5 linked regions of the Nothobranchius furzeri genome follow. Each later gene encodes a partner of the first gene's protein in a complex. Links are inferred from orthologs where the notes say so. Each region holds a gene or a part of one and is shown on either strand. Other genes may lie near its edges.

What was found.
Region 2: heterogeneous nuclear ribonucleoprotein Q-like (region 1) and ybx1 share a complex: the UniProt entries of both Homo sapiens proteins name them as parts of the coding region determinant (CRD)-mediated complex. The link is inferred for Nothobranchius furzeri from reciprocal best matches to the Homo sapiens genes SYNCRIP and YBX1.
Region 3: heterogeneous nuclear ribonucleoprotein Q-like (region 1) and hnrnpub share a complex: the UniProt entries of both Homo sapiens proteins name them as parts of the coding region determinant (CRD)-mediated complex. The link is inferred for Nothobranchius furzeri from reciprocal best matches to the Homo sapiens genes SYNCRIP and HNRNPU.
Region 4: heterogeneous nuclear ribonucleoprotein Q-like (region 1) and dhx9 share a complex: the UniProt entries of both Homo sapiens proteins name them as parts of the coding region determinant (CRD)-mediated complex. The link is inferred for Nothobranchius furzeri from reciprocal best matches to the Homo sapiens genes SYNCRIP and DHX9.
Region 5: heterogeneous nuclear ribonucleoprotein Q-like (region 1) and rpl13a share a complex: the UniProt entries of both Homo sapiens proteins name them as parts of the GAIT complex. The link is inferred for Nothobranchius furzeri from reciprocal best matches to the Homo sapiens genes SYNCRIP and RPL13A.

Annotation. Positions count from the first base shown.
Region 1 is NC_091742.1:17,031,948-17,035,895, reverse strand, and holds the start of heterogeneous nuclear ribonucleoprotein Q-like, read left to right. Parts: upstream 1-1,147; 5' UTR 1,148-1,287; exon of another isoform or gene 1,288-1,300; intron 1,301-3,948. UniProt on the Homo sapiens protein: Heterogenous nuclear ribonucleoprotein (hnRNP) implicated in mRNA processing mechanisms. Component of the CRD-mediated complex that promotes MYC mRNA stability.
Region 2 is NC_091755.1:32,515,615-32,519,877, forward strand, and holds the start of ybx1 (Y-box-binding protein 1), read right to left. Parts: upstream 2,804-4,263; 5' UTR 2,627-2,803; coding exon 2,521-2,626; intron 1,005-2,520; coding exon 941-1,004; intron 707-940; coding exon 673-706; intron 591-672; coding exon 501-590; intron 419-500; coding exon 140-418; intron 1-139. UniProt on the Homo sapiens protein: DNA- and RNA-binding protein involved in various processes, such as translational repression, RNA stabilization, mRNA splicing, DNA repair and transcription regulation.
Region 3 is NC_091742.1:29,998,740-30,002,941, forward strand, and holds the start of hnrnpub (heterogeneous nuclear ribonucleoprotein Ub), read right to left. Parts: upstream 2,813-4,202; 5' UTR 2,674-2,812; coding exon 2,247-2,673; intron 409-2,246; coding exon 294-408; intron 1-293. UniProt on the Homo sapiens protein: DNA- and RNA-binding protein involved in several cellular processes such as nuclear chromatin organization, telomere-length regulation, transcription, mRNA alternative splicing and stability, Xist-mediated transcriptional silencing and mitotic cell progression.
Region 4 is NC_091751.1:34,762,162-34,765,673, reverse strand, and holds part of dhx9 (ATP-dependent RNA helicase A), read left to right. Parts: intron 1-1,463; coding exon 1,464-1,625; intron 1,626-1,719; coding exon 1,720-1,797; intron 1,798-1,868; coding exon 1,869-2,060; intron 2,061-2,946; coding exon 2,947-3,088; intron 3,089-3,163; coding exon 3,164-3,246; intron 3,247-3,319; coding exon 3,320-3,476; intron 3,477-3,512. UniProt on the Homo sapiens protein: Multifunctional ATP-dependent nucleic acid helicase that unwinds DNA and RNA in a 3' to 5' direction and that plays important roles in many processes, such as DNA replication, transcriptional activation, post-transcriptional RNA regulation, mRNA translation and RNA-mediated gene silencing.
Region 5 is NC_091758.1:28,903,976-28,908,012, reverse strand, and holds rpl13a (large ribosomal subunit protein uL13), read left to right. Parts: upstream 1-1,227; 5' UTR 1,228-1,296; coding exon 1,297-1,317; intron 1,318-1,923; coding exon 1,924-1,996; intron 1,997-2,478; coding exon 2,479-2,544; intron 2,545-2,582; exon of another isoform or gene 2,583-2,664; intron 2,665-2,743; coding exon 2,744-2,845; intron 2,846-3,008; exon of another isoform or gene 3,009-3,084; intron 3,085-3,176; coding exon 3,177-3,262; intron 3,263-3,442; coding exon 3,443-3,502; intron 3,503-3,691; coding exon 3,692-3,901; 3' UTR 3,902-3,938; downstream 3,939-4,037. UniProt on the Homo sapiens protein: Associated with ribosomes but is not required for canonical ribosome function and has extra-ribosomal functions.

The sequences.
Region 1 (3,948 bases):
AAATGTATTATCAAACATGCTCACTTAGATTATTATTCAGTCAGAGTTACATCATATAATCCATTCGTTTCACTGAAAAAGGAGCAGGCAGAACTATGAACTTGTTTAGCCCGTCCAAGTAACATGGAAGAAAAAATACATGTATCTGTATGTAAATGTAGTTAAAATGTCTTCCCACAATAGCTCATGTAGATTCTGTCTGAGTTATACCATAAAAATCCTACAGTTCCACTAAAAGAGTATTTACCTGCAAACTAGCCTGTTAGCTCAGCTTTCTGCTGCTTCCTCTGTAGCAAGTTAGCAGTACACAGGTTAGCTCCAGTAGCTGCAAAGTCTCTGATGTTCCACAGGTTCCTGAAAAATTAGCAAACTTATTAACATAAACTGCAATAATTAATTCCATGAAACCAGTAATGAATATGTTAAGATGAATTTTTAATACGTCTCTCTGGAACAATAGACCATTGTCCTTAGGCTAGCACAATGCTTGCTTAGCAGCTAGCTAGTGAGCTAACGTCTGGTTAAAACCAACTTAAAAAGTGGCTTAATTTACAGATTAACTAAGAAAAGATCAAATATATCATCAATTGTCACTTTAGATCCTCAGTAGACACCACAGACAGCAGAAATAATGTGTTTGGGGCTCAAAATTCATGTTGTTGACCGAGGTGGGAAAAGAATGTCTTGGAGGCTACATCACTTCCGGGTCACTGAACAGTCACTCAAGAGAAACCACTGTCCTATAGGAGAGGACTTCTCAGAAGTCCCACCCACCCGAAAGGGTTGTGTCAGAATTGCAACCAAAAACTCAGGGATTGCAAAAGAGAAAGCCAGAAAGTTTAAGTGCAAATCTGGTAGTGAGAGCTAAGCTGTGTGCAGCGAGAACGAAACTAAGGAAACTGATAACAAAAACACATAGAGGCAAACAGAAAAAGGAAACATACTTTGTTACTCATTTTAAGAAGTTGATTCAGATCATAAGTTTTTCTTTTGAAACAATTTTTTTCTCTCGCAATGTCTTAATATTTGATCTTCAAAGTGTTTTTCTTGATCCTATTGGCACAAATCTAATCCCATAGCATCGCTCACCGGGCGGTGGTGAAACCGGAGGAGCCCCTGCGAAGGTCACTCAGAAGCCCCGTTTATGCTAAAATGAAGCAGCAGCGCTCGCGACGTTATACAGACGCCATTTTGTATCCCGGGTGTCAACCAAGAGATTACCCGCGCTAACGTTTCTCTTAATTTGGACTATCATCAACACGGCGGATCAGCATCGTGCACCCACAGGTAGCTTCGCGTGGTAGGTAGCAACAAACATGGTAGCCCCGAGTTTGGCTCGTGCACGCGCCTCTACAGCGTGCTGCTCGACCGGCTGTGCTAACCGGTCTTTTGAGGAAAGAATCGGACACGCGTCCATCGATGCCGTTATTGGGGTAATGCAGGGAAAGGAGAGCTTATGGCTCATAGCCAACAGTGTTTAATACATCACGGTACACGTTCTCCATTCACCGGTGTCGGCGCGGTAACTACCGAGGCCTACTACGGGGGAAGCAGTAGCTCAGGTGGTAGAGCGGATTGCCTCGTGATCGGAGGGTCATGGGTTCGATTCCAGCTCCCGCCAGGGGTATCCTGCTGTTGTGTCCTTGGGCAAGACACTTCACCCAACTTGCCTGTGTTAGTGGTGGTCAGAGGGGCCGACGGCGCCAAATGGCAGCCTCGCCTCTGTCAGACCTCCCCAGGGCGGCTGTGGCTACAAGTGTGTGAATGTGAGAGTGTGTGAAAGCGTCTTTGGGTGTCTAGAAAAGCGCTATATAAACTCAGTGCATTATTATTATTATTATTATTACTCGAGCCCCACGCGCTCTCAGGTGTGGTGAGTGTTGGTTTCAGCAGTTATGGTCCATTAGACCGGGTCGCTGCTCTGGGGCTACTTATCCATGTTTTTGTTTGTTTTAAACGACTCCGATCTGTCGCTGATGGGTTTTCAGTTTAGTAACGATCTAACCGGATCAGTGTGGTCAGACGATGTCCGCTGTCCAGCTCGATGGCGCCAAATACCGGCGGCTGTTGTCTGAAGTCACCCGGAAACAGATCAGTTAGCTGTGTTTAAACCAGTCTAGGATCACAACAGGTGTTATCGGTAGATTTACCCACTAACACAACAGTTAGGCCAGGGCAATCTAACGCTGGTCTTCCCGGGCCACCGTGTAGCATGTTTTGGTTGTTTTCCTGCTCCAACACACCTGGTTCAGTTCGCTTCCCTAAGAAACCAATTACTGGAGCAGACACACCAGAACGGTGGCCCTGGAGGACAAGGGTTAGACCATTGGACCAGGGTTATCAACTTTAAAGAGCAAGTCACCCCCAAATCTACTTCTTTTGCTGATACATTATATAAACTAGTGTCTAATCGGGCTGTAGACGCATGCAGTCAATAATTTGGGCCTTTAGTGTATCATACTTCAAATGTAAATAATATTCCTAAAACTCAGTGTCGCACCGTGTTCAGGTAAACACCCTGCACTGCAGCTGAATTTAAATCTGACATTGCTATTGGCTAAGAGGTACACCATGACGTTAGCTGGTACATTATGTCACAATGTTGTTGTGAACCTGTGTTCGTGTGTGTGTGCGTGCGCTAGGCAACAGCATTTGTTGCATTTTTCAAACAGGAAGTGGGAGTGGAGTAAGACTGATAAGATGTGACTGGATAAGAAAAGATTCATAATCAAACTAGTAAGTCAAGAGCATTGAGGGGGTTTATTCTGTCGTAAAAACTTTGTGTTCAGAGTTAGGGATGCATGTTCATACGATACGTATCGCGATACAGAGTAGAAAATATCGCGATACTAAAAGCTGAGGAATATTTCCGAGACTGAATTTAAATGAAAGAAGCATCATGGTAAACAGTCCAAACTGTTACATGTGCTGGTGCAACCAACGCAAAGGGATCTACATTTCATCACAGGAAATAAAAATTTGCCCTTTAACTGGGCGGTGTTTTAACTGGTAGAGTTGAGTTTCAGCTCAAACTGTACGACTTCCTTGCAGAGCAAGTCTCACGAGTTACGTGCTCACACTGTATGTCTGGTAGCGACATGTTGGGCCCACAAATATGCTAAAATCAGCTGTTTTTACACAACACGTCAGACTTATCGTATTATTAGGGATGCACGTAGTTAACTGCTTAATTGCCTTTAATGTTGTGACCAGGTAAACTAGTTTTTTCCAGTTAACTGTTTCAAGTCCTTCTGCTGTGCTTGGTGCAATATATTTTGTGCCACTAGAGGACGCAAGAGTGCCACTGTCAAATGGTTTACTGGGCGACCGCAGAAGAAGAAATGAGCTCATCACAAGACCTAACAAATGTGCTGAAACACAAGCGGTTATTAGAGTTAGCGGTTATTGTTTGTTCTTTCGTTATTTCATTCTTGGAGCACAAAAAGCCTCACATCAGAGCGCCGAGCCGAGACCAGCAGCAGGTCCGTCGGCCGTGACGCTCCTTATGCCTGATGCCTTATTTGTCCAGTACAATAAAGAAATTAAGTTTTCTTGCATTCAACTAAATAATTACACTAGGTGTTAAAACCGCGGCCAGACTGCACTTATCAGCACGTGATCACAAGCAGCGCTGCGTATCTGAGATCAGATGGTCCGCTGAGTCTGACGGACAATCCAGCTGTCATCCCACTCTCTTTACTTTTGTTCATAAACATAACGAGTGTGGGACTTAAGTCGTGAGTCATTGTATTAAAGAGTAGATGGAGAAAGTGTTATTCATAGAGCGAGGCAAATGTTTGGGGGGGGCTATTGACCGCTACGGAGCGTCGCTAGCCGGTTAAAGAAAGTTTGGTAAGCATACATCCCCAGTTGTTATTGTCCGTTGGGATCGCTGGAGGTTGGAGGAGGAAGACGATGAAAGTGAATCAACATCTTATCAGTTTAATC
Region 2 (4,263 bases), on another chromosome or scaffold:
GTCTACAACAAAGGGTTTTAATTTTGGAATGGGACAACTGGGTGACTGTTTCAGGATTTTAGCCCTGTGACAGCGTACCTCAGTCATCTCTGCGTGGTGCGTTGGGTGTATGGGGCCTGCGGCCGTAGCGACTACGTACAAAATATGGTGGGTAGCGCCGTCTGCCAGGGTACGCTGGTCTGCGCTGTGGTTGCTGCGAATCTCCATCAGGGATGTTATCTCCACCCTCTCTGCTGCCTTTGTCACGTCCTCCACTGCCAGGCTCTCCCTCGTCGCTCTGGTAGTTCTCTGGATAGTCTCCTCCACGGGGAGGCCCCCTCCTTCGTGGGTAGCGTCTGTAACGGTTCCTGTCAGCAGCGTACTTACTCCCCTGGACTGCAACTCCTCCTGGGCCAGTGACATTTGCTGCCTCTGCTCCCTGTGCACAAGAAAAAAAGGCAAAGTAAATTAATCATGATGGAACACAATGTCCTTTAAACAAACAAATCAAAGAAACTTACTTTTTCTCCCTCAACTACATCAAACTCCACAGTTTCTCCGTCCCCAACACTGCGAAGATATTTCCTTGGGTTGTTCTTTTTTATGGCCGTCTGAAATTACAAATAGTTTGAATGTCAAGTCTGCTTAACCACAAATTTCAATAAATGAATAAAAACTAAAGCAACAACTGACCTGGTGTACAAAAACATCTTCCTTTGTATCGTTCCTAGACAAAAGAACAGAATCTTAGTTAGCTGCATTCTGCTGAGCCTCTGCAAACAGACTTAAAACTAAGCCAGTGGGGATTAATTAAGTTCTGTGGGTTGCAACAGGATGGAGATGAGCAGAAAAATAATATGGTCAGCCAAGTACGCAAAGCATAACTTAATAGGATTAGCATGCTTCACTCTCACCCACACCCAGAAATGTACTTTGACACAGGGACCAACAGGTGACTCACCTATTGATGAAACCATATCCATTCCTGACGTTGAACCATTTGACTGTACCCAAGACTTTTGTTGCTGCAATCACAGTCAGAACAAGATTATTAAATACCATCGTCTGCCTGACATGCATTTAGAACAAATCCATATAGCTTAAGTGAAACTGAAACGCTTCCATCATGATGGGACACTTAACGAACTACATCAGAACTATAAAAACATTAAAAACTATGGCCACACATAACGTAGAGGTTATATTTAACCCGCAACTGTCACTCCTATTATAGACACTGATGCTTAGGAGACCCCAGGGCCAGCTGCTCCTAACATGAGCCACCAGTAAGAAAATATCCCAGTAACGATACAACAACTGTCCCAAATGACGCATCCAAAATGTCCCATAATGCATGACAAAGATGAGGATGCAAACAGCGACCAGTCTCTGCACTCGCATGTTTAGTTACTGCAGACCTGCTGCTCCATTTTAGGACGCAGAACCTGAAGGTTCACACGTGGTTGGGTCGCACCCGGATACGTTAACGAGCTGTGAGCTGTGCTCTGCTGGCTATTAGCATGGCTGTGTGGCTAAGGTTAGTACCATGTGGTTGGAGTAGAGCCAGCAAAGAGAAACAAACAAACGCGCATTACTAAACTACATTAATCCGTATTTATTGGTATATATGATAAAGATTTCGGTTTTGAATTAGTTTTTAGCGAACAAATTACAAAGCAGCGGGAAAAAACGGGAAAACACACGGCGGACATTTTGGACGGCCTCCCCTAAAGCCATGTAAATAGCCACTTAGCTGGCTAGGCTAATGTAGCTAGGTTAGCAACCGATGATCTATAGTAAAGTATTTAGGCCACACCGACAGCACGCAAATTCAACCAAAATAAGACCGCCATTGACGGATGTAGCTGGAGTCGCTAGCCAACAACGTTTCTTCTGACAATTTGGCCAAAAAAATCGGGACTGAACGCTTTGGAAAAGGAGAATATTTTAGATAAAATGCCTTGACATGGAATCAAGACTCTTTCGTGCGAACAAAGAGATGGTTAAGCAGCTAACGTTCGTAGCCACTGTAGTTATTTCACATGAACCGGTGTTATAGAGCATTTGGTAGGATTGTTCTGCAATTATTGGCGGTCCAGATGCAGTTATGCAGTTATTAAACCCTAGTCAAAACATCGTGGTTCTGGCAACGGTTGGAAGTGACAGCGAGCATCCATGTGATGACCGGCCGGATACACGCGACTCTCAAACGGATATTTGACGTGAGGAGGCCGATGAGCAATGGAGATAATCAGAATGGAATTCACGATTTAATCTGTGAATAAACCACTCAATTTTTAGAAACTAGACTAATAAAAACCGTTAGATTGAATTTTTTGGACCATTATAATAAGAATGCCCAAAGGAGTGAAGAATTTATCCGTCAACTGGCACTAACGTTTACCAACTGGAGCAAATTAATTTGACGTGGCTGAAATTCTCACGCAAGAACGGCAGCTTTTATTCAAATGCTACATCCACACCCAAGAGCGTATAAATTATAAATGATAACTCCGGCTCGGCTAGCCTAAGAATTCTTACCGATGACCTTCTTATCCCCCGCGGAAGCTGCGGGTGCCGGGCTGGATGGGCTCTCCGCATCCGCAGCAGGCTGTGGAGGTTGTTGCGTCTCGGCCTCGCTGCTCATGGTTACTACTCGTTGGTAATGGCTTCAGCCGGCGGCGGCTCTCTGATATTTTTCCCGGTGCTAGATGGTAACCTGGGCCGGCGGTGGTGGGGGCTACTGCCTTCGGGCTCTCAGCTTTCTTCTTTCCGCTCCCGTTGCCGATCGAACTGGGCAGAACAAGAGACAGTGCAGGGGAATGTTCCCAGGCGAAGACCCGCCCATCTCGTCTCCTGATTAGCTAAAATATGTAGAATTGAACAAATCTCCTTCCAATTGGCTATTGAGACTGTCAATCTTTTTTGAGCAAAGCCTTTGATGAAATTATTGGTCAAAAAGACGTACAGAAGTCTCAACGCCCCCAGTGACGTAAAAGCGAGAGAATTCTGCTTGTGACACTTCCGATAGTATTATGCATTTTGAATTATGTCATACAAAACTGTGAACCATACATGTGGTATGTTGCAAATGTGACAACTTTATGTTTAATTTATTTTGTCGTTTCTAGATAGTTGAAATAATTACTACTATTGTGATGTTTACCGTGGGAACATTCTAAGAAAAGACAAATAAACACCCCATAAATATTAGCAGGTAAAGACAAAGGTAACTGCAGAATCCACTCATATTATGTTCATGCACCACTGGCACCCTTTACAAGCACAGGCCAATGTGTGAAGCGCATGCGGTTAATCTCTCTCTCTCTCTCTCTCTCTCTCTCTCTCTCTCTCTCTCTCTCTCTCTCTCTCTCTCTCTCTCTCTCTCTCTCTCTCTCTCTCTCTCTCTCTCTCTCTCTCTCTCTCTCTCTCTCTCTCTCTCTCTCTCTCTCTCTCTCTCTCTCTCTCTCTCTCTCTCTCGGAGTTAGTGCTGCTAGATTAGACAGATTTTATGTCTCTGGTAAAAAAAAAAAACAGCTTGGGCATTTCGTGCAAGAGAGGGCCAAAGGGGCCTTGATCCGGGCTCGTTTCACCACATTACAGGACATGGATGCTCCAACATCCTTCTTTTTTAACCTGGAAAAGACTTTCAAACCAGAAAAAAACAAATGGTTGCTCTTCGTCTGTCAGATGGACAGTTATCCACAGACCCAGTGGAGATGAGGAAGTATGCAGGAGAATTCTATACCAGCCTATTTAAGGCCATGTGATGTGAACTGTGCCAGAGAGCTGTTGCAGGGGCTCCCTTCCTTGACCACAGCAGACCAAGACATCTTAAATGCAGACATAACCATGGAGGAGCTTACAACGGCAGTCTCCCAGATGGCTGCAGGAAAATCTCTGGGGATAGATGGCTTACCTGCTGACTTCTACAAATTCTACTGGAGCAGTATGGGACAGGACCTGATGGATGTTTTTAAAGACTCACTTCAGACAGGAGCACTTCCTGCATCGTGTAGGTGGGGCGTTCTGTCCCTGCTGCCGAAAAAGGGGACTTAACCCAACTAAAATACTGGAGACCAGTTTCCTTGTTATGTTCAGACAATAAGATTTTTTCTAAATTCTTATCAAACAGACTTTGGGGATTCATCGGAGGTCTAATCCCAGACGATCAGTCCTTTTGAATACCAGGAAAGTAATTAATGGACAATTTATTTTTAATGAGAGGCTACGGGCCTTTGGTTTTGGGGGGTCCTTTCTGGAATGGATTAAGATGCTGTATAG
Region 3 (4,202 bases), about 13 Mb from region 1:
AGGTGGCATGAGGAACAGATATGAGATTGATAGATGCACTTCTGCTACAGAATGCAGTCGTTAAAGACACAATGTGAGTGTAAAAAGGTAAATGGTAAGGCTTTAGCTATTCAGGGATGACCCTCAAACACATGTGTGAAAGGTTATATCATAAATATATGATAGAATACTTCAAACGAGGCTTTACCTCTTGCTAGTTATGTGCATTGGCACTTAAAGCCAATACAGTTCAACAAAGCTTGGATGGCGCTTCAGGGATGCTGAAGGCCACCTCGGCTCTGTCCCATCCTTACCAGCTGTATTTGTTCTCTTCAATAAATTCAAAGTAGCCCCTTCCATGTTCCTCCCGGCGTCTCTTAACACCCTTCTTATTCTTCTGATCAGCATTCGTGTCTTTGTCCGCATCTCCTTTGAAAATAGAACAAAGATATAGAATGAGGTGCTCCTTTTTGAGAGAGAGAGAGGTCGGACTGGCAGTGGGGTTCTGGCCCACGAAGCCCGTTCATTATTTACATTGCGTCTAGCATGATTACCAAGAGGAAACACCTCATAGTTACATTTAAAACAGTACAATCATATTACATGACTTGTAACAACTGGTAAGACCAGGTAGTAATTACAGCATGAACTGGCCCAAATGAACAGCAGCAGCAGAGCTTGATGGGGCTGGAAAAGGGGTCGTGAAAGGGTAAGAACCCTTCAGATACAAGTCCTCTAGTCCTAGATGAGGGTCTACTGCATCAGGGGGAGTTAACCATGCAGGGAAACCTACCTAAAGCCCAATGACACCCCCCGCTAAAGAAAAGGATGATATGTAAATAAAAATGTATGTATACCCTTTAATATCACGCTTGTATTTCAAATCGAAAACACACGATGGACGTATCAGGAAAGTTGTAGGCCACTCCGTTCTTCTGCAAAGCGCTGGGTTAGCAAGTTCAGAGGTTCCCAAGCTCATAACCCAAACTAACACCCAAATACAGCTTCAGGTCTTTTACATCAGCCTGCTGAGGCTCTTCCTTCAAACATCTGCACCTCATAACCAGACCTGATGCTAGTGTTGGCTTTTGATCCGGCTAAACACGATTCTGGACTTCACTCGTCTACACTAGATAGAATCTTTAATAATTTAATCAATCACATACAGTCCAAGACTGGGACAATTTAGTTCTTATGGGCAACTCAAAGTGGTCCAGCCCAAAAACACGCAGACATCTGGACTAACAGTTTGAAGCTGACATGCACTGACCTGCGGAAGGAAACCATGGAAACCCACACATGCACGCGGAGAACAAGCTAACTCCATGCAGAAAGGCTGGAGCTGGGATGTGAACCTTGCTAAAAGCTAAAAGTGCTACCAAATGGAGTTTGTGAAACCGTTAATCATTCAGTAAGACTAAAGTGTTATTGATAACGGGACCACATCAGAACCAGTCATATGAAGCAAGGTGACAGACTCTGGTGCCTTGCTGATCTCTGGACCAGATCAGAAGCGGTCCTTGTAGAAAACTTCATCAGTAATGTGTGCCACTCCTAGTTGATCAGAGGTAGAAAATGTAACGCATGGGGGATTTAGACCACGTTTGGACCCACTCATTAAAAAAATCTAAAAACTAAAATTGTCTTCAGTAATTTGTGTTTTTGCGACTGGAGCACGTAAGAACTGATCCTGTTCTGAAAACAGAACACGTTTTAGTTTTTATATGTATTAAAGAATTACTTTAGCCCCCTCCCGCCTCGTCTACGTGCTGTAGTTCTGAACTAGAGCTGATCAAACGTAGTCCAGATGAAGCCTTGGCGAGAGGAAAACCGACTAAAGCGTGATGGGAACCTCTGAAATGGCTAACACGGCTAGCTAGCGCAGACCGATACAAAGGAAAAACGATGCTAACTAGCGTGCTACTATCAAGCGACACAAGAGAAAAATAACAAATTAATTTCTTAAGAATTATTTATAAGCATGTTCCTTAGTTAGTCCGTGTCAATTAACCTACTATCCGTTGGTAAACTGGGTTAGAGAATCGTACATTTAAATTATTGTAACCAAGGCGTTGGCTAATGCTAACTAGCCTGAATCACGCTGACTGACTCAACATGGACGCCATGATAAGCGGTAACAACCGGCTACCCCTCCCTTACGGAAAAGCATTCAAATCTACGCTACAGTTCCCACCTCCCCCCACAAAATGACACCCAGCCACGGTTCATCCAACAAATCATTTTCATAGCGTATTGTTTCTTCTCACCCTCAGTAGCGTGATCGCCGGGCTCACCATCTTCTGTGTCAATTTTCTCCATGTCGTCTACATCCTCCTTTAGCATGGGATCCATCTCGTCCTCCTCGTCACCTTCCTCTTCCCCCTCACCCATCTCCTCGTCCACCGACACACCGTTCCCGTCGCCGTCATTCGCCGGCTCTTCTCCCTCGTTGGCCTCCATGCTCTCCTCTACCGGGCCTTCTTCTTCCTCCCCCATACCCTCCTGGATGTCCGCGGCCTGCTCGTCCGTCGCCACATCCTGAGCGGCCGAGTCTCCAGCGAGGGCCTCCTCGTCCAGCGCGGCCTGCAAGCGGTCCATCAGATCGGCCTTCAGCCCCTTGTCTGATAGGTTTCGTTTCTTGAGCTCGTCTTTTAGCTCGTTTACTTTAAGCTTCTTCACGTTAATCGTGCTCATTGTGGACGTTTAACGACAAACTACTAAAATACGTCGACAAATAAACAATAACGTGCACTTTGTTAGTAGATGTTGCTCGAAACGACGCCAAACGTTACGCGCGATCCAACCTTTCACCAACGGAGAGGGAGCTGATGAGCCAGCCTCGGCGGCGGGAGGGGGAGCAGAGCGCTAACCACTACCGTAATGATCCTAAAAGCAGCACAGTCGAGCCAGAGCCACCACGGTATTAAAACTGGAACAAGAACAGGGCAGTGCAGAGATGAGAGACGGGTGCCCCAAGTTTAAACGGGGCACCTAAAACAAGACTGTCAAACCCCTTACATCATTTACAGATGACCAGGTAGACTAATAACAACTCATTATCAATAATCTATCTAATCACACCATCTGCTTCAAGCTGTGTTTTGTTGCCTCTACCTTTATTGCGCCTGTTGCTTGAACAAAGGGCAAAACATTCAGGCTCTAGATGTGGAAAGCTGGTAGGGACATAACCCAAAGAGACACCCCCCAAAGCCATTCAGCTGTAATTGCAGCAAAAGATGAGTCCACAAAGTATTTATGCAGGGGGCTGAATACAAATGCACAACACACTTTCATATTTTTATTTGCTTAAAATTTTTGAAAACCATGTTTCATTTCACACTTATGTGCTTTTTTATGTTGATCTAGCAAAGAAAATATCAATAAAAATATTGAAGTTTGTGGTCAAAATATGTAGAAGTTCAGAGGGTATGAATACCTTTGCAAGGCACCACGTATGTATGTATGTATGTATGTATGTATGTATGTATGTATGTATGTATGTATGTATGTATGTATGTACGTACGTACGTACGTATGTATGTATGTATGTATGTATGTATGTATGTATGTATGTACGCATGTATGTATGTATGTATGTATGTATGTACGTATGTATGTATGTACGCATGTATGTTTGTATGTATGTATGTACGTATGTATGTATGTATGTATGTATGTATGTATGTACGCACGTACGTATGTATGTTTGTATGTATGTATGTACGTATGTATGTATGTATGTTTGTATGTATGTATGTATGTACGCATGTATGTATGTATGTATGTACGTATGTATGTATGTACGCATGTATGTTTGTATGTATGTATGTACGTATGTATGTATGTACGCATGTATGTATGTATGTATGTATGTATGTATGTATGTATGTATGTATGTATGTATGTATGTATGTATGTATGTATGTATGTATGTATGCATGTATGTATGCATGCATGCATGCATGTATGTATGTATGTATGTATGTATGTATGTATGCATGTATGTATGTATGTACGCATGTATGTATGTATGCATGTATGTATGTATGTATGTATGTATGTATGTATGTATGTATGCATGCATGCATGCATGTATGTATGTATGTATGTACAGACGCAAACTGCCTTTCAACCAGTGATGGGTCGGCAAATGTATCTAGCTCATAGAGCGAGACCCTGCTTTGGTATGAAGAAGTAGTCACATGACCAAAATGGCTGCTGTT
Region 4 (3,512 bases), on another chromosome or scaffold:
CGCGGGGTCTCCCATAAAGACAGTGGGAGGTTTAAACAAGTTTTTATCCGTAGCTGTTTCTCATTACTAACGCTGGAGTTTGTGCCCTTCTGTCTCTGTCGGGTCTGTGAGAATGTAAAACAGCCTTTCAGACATAAACTTGTAAACAGAAGAAAATAAAACATCGTGATGCGGATCTTACACCATATGGCCCATTCCTACCACCCAAATAAATAATAACCCCTGTAATGTGATGAAGGAGCTATTCCACCGCAGGTTATTTACCCTCTCTCCTCGGTAAGAACTAATCTGCATGAGACTGCCTCAAGGACATGCATTTGCTTCTAAAACTGTTTCCTTTCCAGCTCAACAGAAGAAAGAAGATAAACTCTTTCTTTTTAATAAATCAAAGAACTCTATTTTTAATAAAGCTAATCAAACAAAGTGTTAGTCCAATAATAAAATGTGAACCAATCTGTGAAATGACAATGTTTAGGATCAGTGGTATTTTAATATTAATAAGTAATAAGACTTTAATCTAGCTGCACTAGACATCCTGATCCACATAATGCTTAAAGTCACATGACATTTTATCTTTCTCATCCAATCGGATCCTTCCTTTCTGAAGCGTGGCATGCTCTTTGTGGTGTTTATAAATCCGTCAAACTCTGATTCGACCGTAAATCAAAACATCCAGATTAATAAAACCAGTCCCCACGCCATCTTAGTTCAGTTCACCACATTCTAAGAGAAGTATCGGACCGGCCACCCGGACTTCCTTTATAAGCAAAGAATCGACAAGCTGGATAAATTCTGTTGCACTTTACAAACCAGGCAACGGTTCCTTCCAGAATAAAAGCTGAACTCACTGACCCTCAGGGTCCATCTGACGCTGTCAACCAACTATCGCTTTTTACCTGGAGACAATCCAAAGACTAGTCTGTCGTATCGCTGACGCTGTTTCATCGGCTCCGGTACCGGGGGGTCCGAGAACCTGGCATTCTGGATCTGTACGGAGGTCTCATCCTGAAGGGTATGTGTGGAGCGACAATATGGCGTCTTATGTGTTTATGAAACAACGATGGCTTAAGAGCAAAACATCACTTCCCACTCAGACTTGCTTCTCCGGATACGAGAGTTCTGATGACAACATCACTCACACATACACCATCCATCTCACGTCTCATTCACACCAAGATCCATTCATCACTTAGAGTTTAGAGTTAGTCTTGTTTAAAATTCTTTAAAATTGTGTAGAAATAAATCTTCTTAAACTTTTTAAAGGTGACTCTCTCTTCTCTTGTCTCTCAGTTAATACGAAGTGTTACATAATCCCTGCAATAAAAAGTTCCAATCTTCTGGTTTAAGTTATCCAAAGGTCCATTAGATTGATTTCATATTTCCTATAGAATTTCACATCTTATGGTTCATTAAATAGACGTACATTAAATCATTACCCCCCCATCCTGTTTGTTGTTCCCTAGCCCTCGGATCCCAGCTGCCCCGTGTCTCTGATCCAGGGCAAGATGGCCATGTTTGAGCCCTCTCAGCGCCAGAGCGCCGCCGGTGTCGTCCCCTGGTCTCCACCTCAGGTCAACTGGAACCCATGGACCAGCAGCAATATCGACGAGGGACCGCTGGCCTATGTAAGGCTTTACTCTGGACTGATGCTGGCTTTGTCCTCTGACCTGTAGCAGTCACCTGATCACTGTGTGATTCTAATGTGATCTAACCCACCAGTGCACCCCTGAGCAGATCAGTGGGGATCTTCACCAAGAGCTGATGTTCCAGCTGGAAAATGACGAGAACCTACAGAAGGTCTGTTTCTTCCTTGAGTGGAGTCAACTGTTAGAGGAAGGTGTTTACCAAACAACTCCCTTTATGTTCAGATCCTGTCAGAGCGTGAGCAGCTGCCCGTCAAAAGCTTTGAGGAGGAGATCATGGCAGCCATCGACCACAACCCTGTAGTGATCATCAGAGGAGCGACTGGTTGCGGAAAAACCACACAGGTCCCTCAGTACATCCTGGACAGCTTCATCAAGGGGGGCCGAGCGTCAGACTGCAACATCGTGGTTACCCAGGTAATGCTCAGTGATGACCTGTGACAACACGGTCACCATGGTAATTCTCTATTTAGGGCTTCAACCTTGTGGTTACCATGGTAACGCTCTTAAGATGGCCTGGGAGATGCAGAGGTGACTACCTGGAATCTGAGGATTGATGATTAGAATTTGTGTTTTTTAAAGCTTCAATCAGCTAATTTGTAGTTGATGATGATGTCATTGATGAAGTCATTACAGTAATCATCTTCTGGTCATTTTGCTTTGTTGAAAATTAAACCAAATCAAAACATCTGATCTCTAAAATTGCAGGAAATAACTTTTCCTCCTACACTGACATTTTGTTGATCAGCTGTTTGTTTACCTGTTTGTTTGTCTATCAGCTGTTTGTTTACCTGTTGTTTGTCTATCAGCTGTTTATTTACCTTTTGTTTGTTTATCAGCTGTTTGTTTACCTTTTGTTTGTCTATCAGCTGTTTGTTTACCTGTTGTTTGTCTATCAGCTGTTTGTTTACCTGTTGTTTGTCTATCAGCTGTTTGTTTACCTTTTGTTTGTTTATCAGCTGTTTGTTTACCTTTTGTTTGTCTATCAGCTGTTTGTTTACCTGTTGTTTGTTTGCCAGCTGTTTGTTTACCAGCTGATAGACAATCAGCTGTTTGTTTACCTGTTGTTTGTCTATCAGCTGTTTGTTTGCCTTTTGTTTGTCTATCAGCTGTTTGTTTGCCAGCTGTTTGTTTACCAGCTGTTTACCTGTTGTTTGTTTGCCAGCTGTTTGTTTATCAGCTGATAGACAATCAGCTGTTTGTTTATCAGCTTTTTGTTTACCTGTTGTTTTTCTATCAGCTGATTGTTTACCTGTTGTTTGTCTATTAGCTGATTGTTTAATGAGATCCTGGTCCCCTGCAGCCCCGGCGGATCAGCGCCGTGTCTGTGGCCGAACGAGTCGCCTACGAGAGAGGAGAGGATCTTGCGAAAAGCTGCGGTTACAGCGTTCGTTTTGAGTCGATGCTGCCCCGACCTCATGCCAGCATCCTCTTCTGCACCGTCGGTAGGAAGTCTCCCCGCTGCACTTTGGACCAGCCTCAATGGAGGTTGTGGGATTAATTCCCAGACTGTGTTTCAGGTGTTCTGCTGAGGAAGCTTGAAGCGGGAATCCGAGGAATCAGTCACGTCATCGTGGATGAGATCCATGAGAGAGACATCAATGTGAGCTCACCCTTCAGAAGGTTTTCAGATGAAAAAGTCACGTCTGAGATTTTCAGCTGTTTCTGTGCTTCAGACGGACTTCCTGATGGTGGTTCTCAGAGATGTGGTCCAAGCTTTCCCAGAGGTACGCGTCGTTCTCATGTCCGCCACCATCGACACCTCCATGTTCAGGGAATATTTCTTCAACTGCCCCGTCATCGAGGTGTTCGGGCGCACCTTCCCCGTTCAGGGTACTCGCCCAGTTTCTCCTGCTGGAGCATGACCTG
Region 5 (4,037 bases), on another chromosome or scaffold:
ATTGGGTGAAGCAATCACCTTAAAAAGGTGTGGATACGTGGAAATATTTTTTTTCTTTTTCTAAAGACAAACATTTTAGTAAAACTGAGTCATTCAGAATAGAAGATGGAGGTCACCAATTAGAGAAATATTTTTTTCGCAGGTACTGGGACATTTTTCAACTATAGCTCATATTTAACTTGATTGTAAATCAAATGACACTGGGACTATTATCAGAACTGTTCAGTCCTGTTTAGGGTCACTACCTGCATGCTCATCAGCACCAAAACACCTGGTTTGATTTAAGATATGATTAGTGCTGAAGACTTGATTAGAAAACTGAATCAGGTGTGATGGAGTAGTGAAACAGCAAAAGCATGTACAGCTATGGCCCTAGGACCCTAATCAGATTTCAGATTCAGATTTATTGGCCAAGTAAAATTACATTTACAAGGAATTTGTCTTTGGTAGATGTTCGCTCTCTAAAACAGACAACAACCACAATAAATGAGAATAAAAATACCTAAAAACACATAAGAACATGTATACCCACACACATGTTCATTTACACACACACATATATACATACCCCCCCCCCCCCCACACACACACACACTCACACACACACGCACATCCATAAGCATACTGAATAAGCATTAAAAACTACAATAATAGGATGGTAAAAGAATCTACAGATTCAGGAGAGAAATGGCTGACGGAAAGAAACTGTTCTTGTGTCTGGTAGTTTTTGTGTACAGTGATCTATAGCGTCTGCCAGATGGGAGGAGATGGAAGAGAGTAGATGCAGGATGTGTGGCATCTTGGACAATATTCACTGCCTTTTTCCTGGTCCTGCTGATGTACAGTTCCTGGACAGAGGGCAGTTGGGCACCAATGATTTTTCCTGCTGTTTTAATAATACGCTATAGTCTGCATTTGTCCATTTTTGTGGCTGACCCAAACCAGACAGTGATGGATGAGCAAAGTATGGATTCGACTGCAGCAGTGTAGAAGATGATCAGCAGCTCTTGTGGTAGGCCATACCACGGCTATGGCCCTAGGACCCTAATTGAATAACATTGGACTATTTGAATAGAAGTATTGTGTAATCAGATTTTAAATTGGTCCAATCAATGCTTTTAAATTATTACAAATAAACCCCAAACGTTCTCTTCGATCAGAAGCATTTATGTTTGGTTGGATGGCGCTAGACTGTTCCTCAGTCATCCCACGAAGAAGAAAAATATCGTTCCGTCACTTCCTGCCACCCCTGCATTTTACCACGGGCAACCCCGTTGCTCTTTCTTTTCGCACGTCATGGCGGACCGGTTCAATAAGGTAAGCTGCTGTTGCGAGGAAATAAAATATATTATTCTACATTTAGCCAACTACAATACGCAATCTGTTTAGTCAGAATGGCTTATAACAGCGTTATATTTCTAAACGTATTCAGTACTTGTGTCCGTCTTGTCTGCAAGACTCGTTTTTTAACACTTGGATCAGTTAGCGGTAGCTATTTGAGCATGCCTTCATCATGGCAGCTTCCCCGCTGAGGCAGTGGCTTATGGTTAGCTTGTTAACAGTTTTTGTGAAAATGAGAATCAAATTGAAAATTAATCAACTGTCGTATAAAATAAAGAGACTGCTATATATCTGTGCAATACTCAAAACGTTTATTTCAGAAACAAGCTTACGTGTGAGCTACGGGTGTTTTAGCCGCGAGTGTTCCATGTGCTAGCTTTGAAATGCACATGAAAAAGACTACGATACAGTGTCACAATCAACAGTTCTTAAACGTCTTAGTAATTTTTACTCAAATGGTTTAATGTCTTGTTCGCTTAACGATCAGACATTATGAATATGCTTAGTTGATAATAGTACGCTTTTTAGGGCAAAGTCAGGCAGTCAGCCAAAGTTTAAAAAATGTACATCTACATTCTACAGGTTCTGCTAATAGATGGCAGGGGCCATCTACTTGGCCGACTGGCTGCCATTGTGGCTAAACAGGTCCTCCTGGGTAAGTTGTTTCTTAAGGATGTGAATAAAGTATGCTCATTTGAACTGCAGTAGACATTTAACCACACATCAAGAATTACTAACAAATAAGATAATTAACACTGTTTGACCAAGGTCCATGGGTTTTATGCTGTCGAGGGGATTGACTTGGTTGGAAATATTAGCAATTATGCTTCCAAATTCGATATGACCTGTTACTGGGAAAACCAATTTAATGCAAGTCTTTGCATGCACAGCTTGTATTGCATTTTATTGTATTCCTATTAAAAGTGTTCATGACTGTTTGCTACCCTTGTGTGATGCTGCATGTTCCTGGCATGAATGCAAACATGGAAGCAGATGTCTAATGTGAAATAGGACTCGCCCAGAATTTAGCACTATCATTTTAACTGTGAAAAAATGTTCTATCGCAAATGGAGAATGACATTTATAACCAACGATTTAAGGAATGTGTCCAACCAGCCTTTAATCTTTCTTTTGTAGGCCACAAAGTAGTGGTGGTAAGATGTGAAGGCATCAACATATCTGGAAACTTCTATCGCAACAAGCGTAAGTAAAACATAAAATAAGTTTTTCTCTTAAGATGTGCTCGTCAATGATGATTTAATGATATTATTCGAGTTTCACTGACCATGAGACTATCTTACATGCACTACCATCTGAGACACCAGCATTGTTTACTAGTAAGACATTAAGTTTAGTAAGTAGTCTGCCTGTGATTTACTGTGGTGTTTGTGTCCACCAACAGTGAAGTATCTGGCTTTCCTGCGCAAGAGGATGAACACCAATCCCTCACGTGGGCCGTACCACTTCAGAGCTCCCAGCAGGATCTTCTGGAGGACTGTCAGAGGTGGGATTGTGGCTCAGGTTAAGAAGTTTACATTTGTGTAAATATAAACAAATGCTTGAAGTTTAATTACAGATTCAGTCGTTGGGTTTTGTTTAGAACTTTCAATGAAGGGACCTTAGTGGTGCAGGTGATTGCAGTTTCAGTTTACATGTTCTAAGTTGCTTGACTGTGATGAGCTCTTTATCCCGAATCTGAACATCTATTGATGAAACAAACACTTCGGATCTGACTTCTGAGTTAAGCAACAGCGTTTTTGGACTTCTGCTAATGTCATACTCGAGGGTGTTTCCCTTATTTTTGTTTTTTACCTTGTATTTTTTTCTCTCTCAAGGCATGCTTCCCCACAAAACCAAGAGAGGCCAGGCTGCTCTGGACAGGCTGAAGGTGTTTGATGGTATCCCCCCTCCTTATGACAAGGTATGTGTCTTTATTTATGTAGCGTTTGAAATTTGGCTGTCGGTGATTACTTTTATCTCCCTTCTTTGAATTTACCATGAAAAGGGAACAAGATCTTGACTGAGACATGCCACGTTACCAAGTGAAATACTTTCTGAAGCTGCAGTTTTTACTTTTTCTAACGTGGATTTTGTTTTTTAGAGAAAGCGTGTGGTTGTGCCAGCTGCTCTGAAAATTGTGCGCCTGAAGCCCACTCGTAAGGTGAGTTGTGAACAAAAGTTTTTCATCAGATTTTTGCTCTTAGTTTGGCTGTTGGTGATGTTTCATGACTTCGCTTCCTTCGTTGAATTTAATGAAAAGTAATCCTAACTGAAACATGCCATTGTATGTTTTATTTCCCTGCTCTCAGCTAAATTTATTTTACTATTTAATTTCCTTTTTTCTTTTCAGTTTGCTCTGCTCGGGCGTCTGGCACACGAGGTTGGCTGGAAGTACCAGGCCATCACAGCCACTCTGGAGGAGAAGAGAAAAGAGAAGGCCAAGCTCCGCTATTCCAAGAAAAAGACACTGGTCAAGCTGACCAAGCAGGCGGAGAAGAACGTTGAGAAGAAAATCGCCGTATACACAAACGTTCTGAAACAATATGGTGTACTTGTCTAACCTGGGTTTTCATGGCCAATAAAGATAATTAAATGTTTATAGAAAGTGTCTTGTTTTTCAGTGGTTGCTTAAAGTAATTGTACATAATGAGTTGAAAAAACTACTGTGATGGACAAGCAACTTGTCCAGGGTGTAC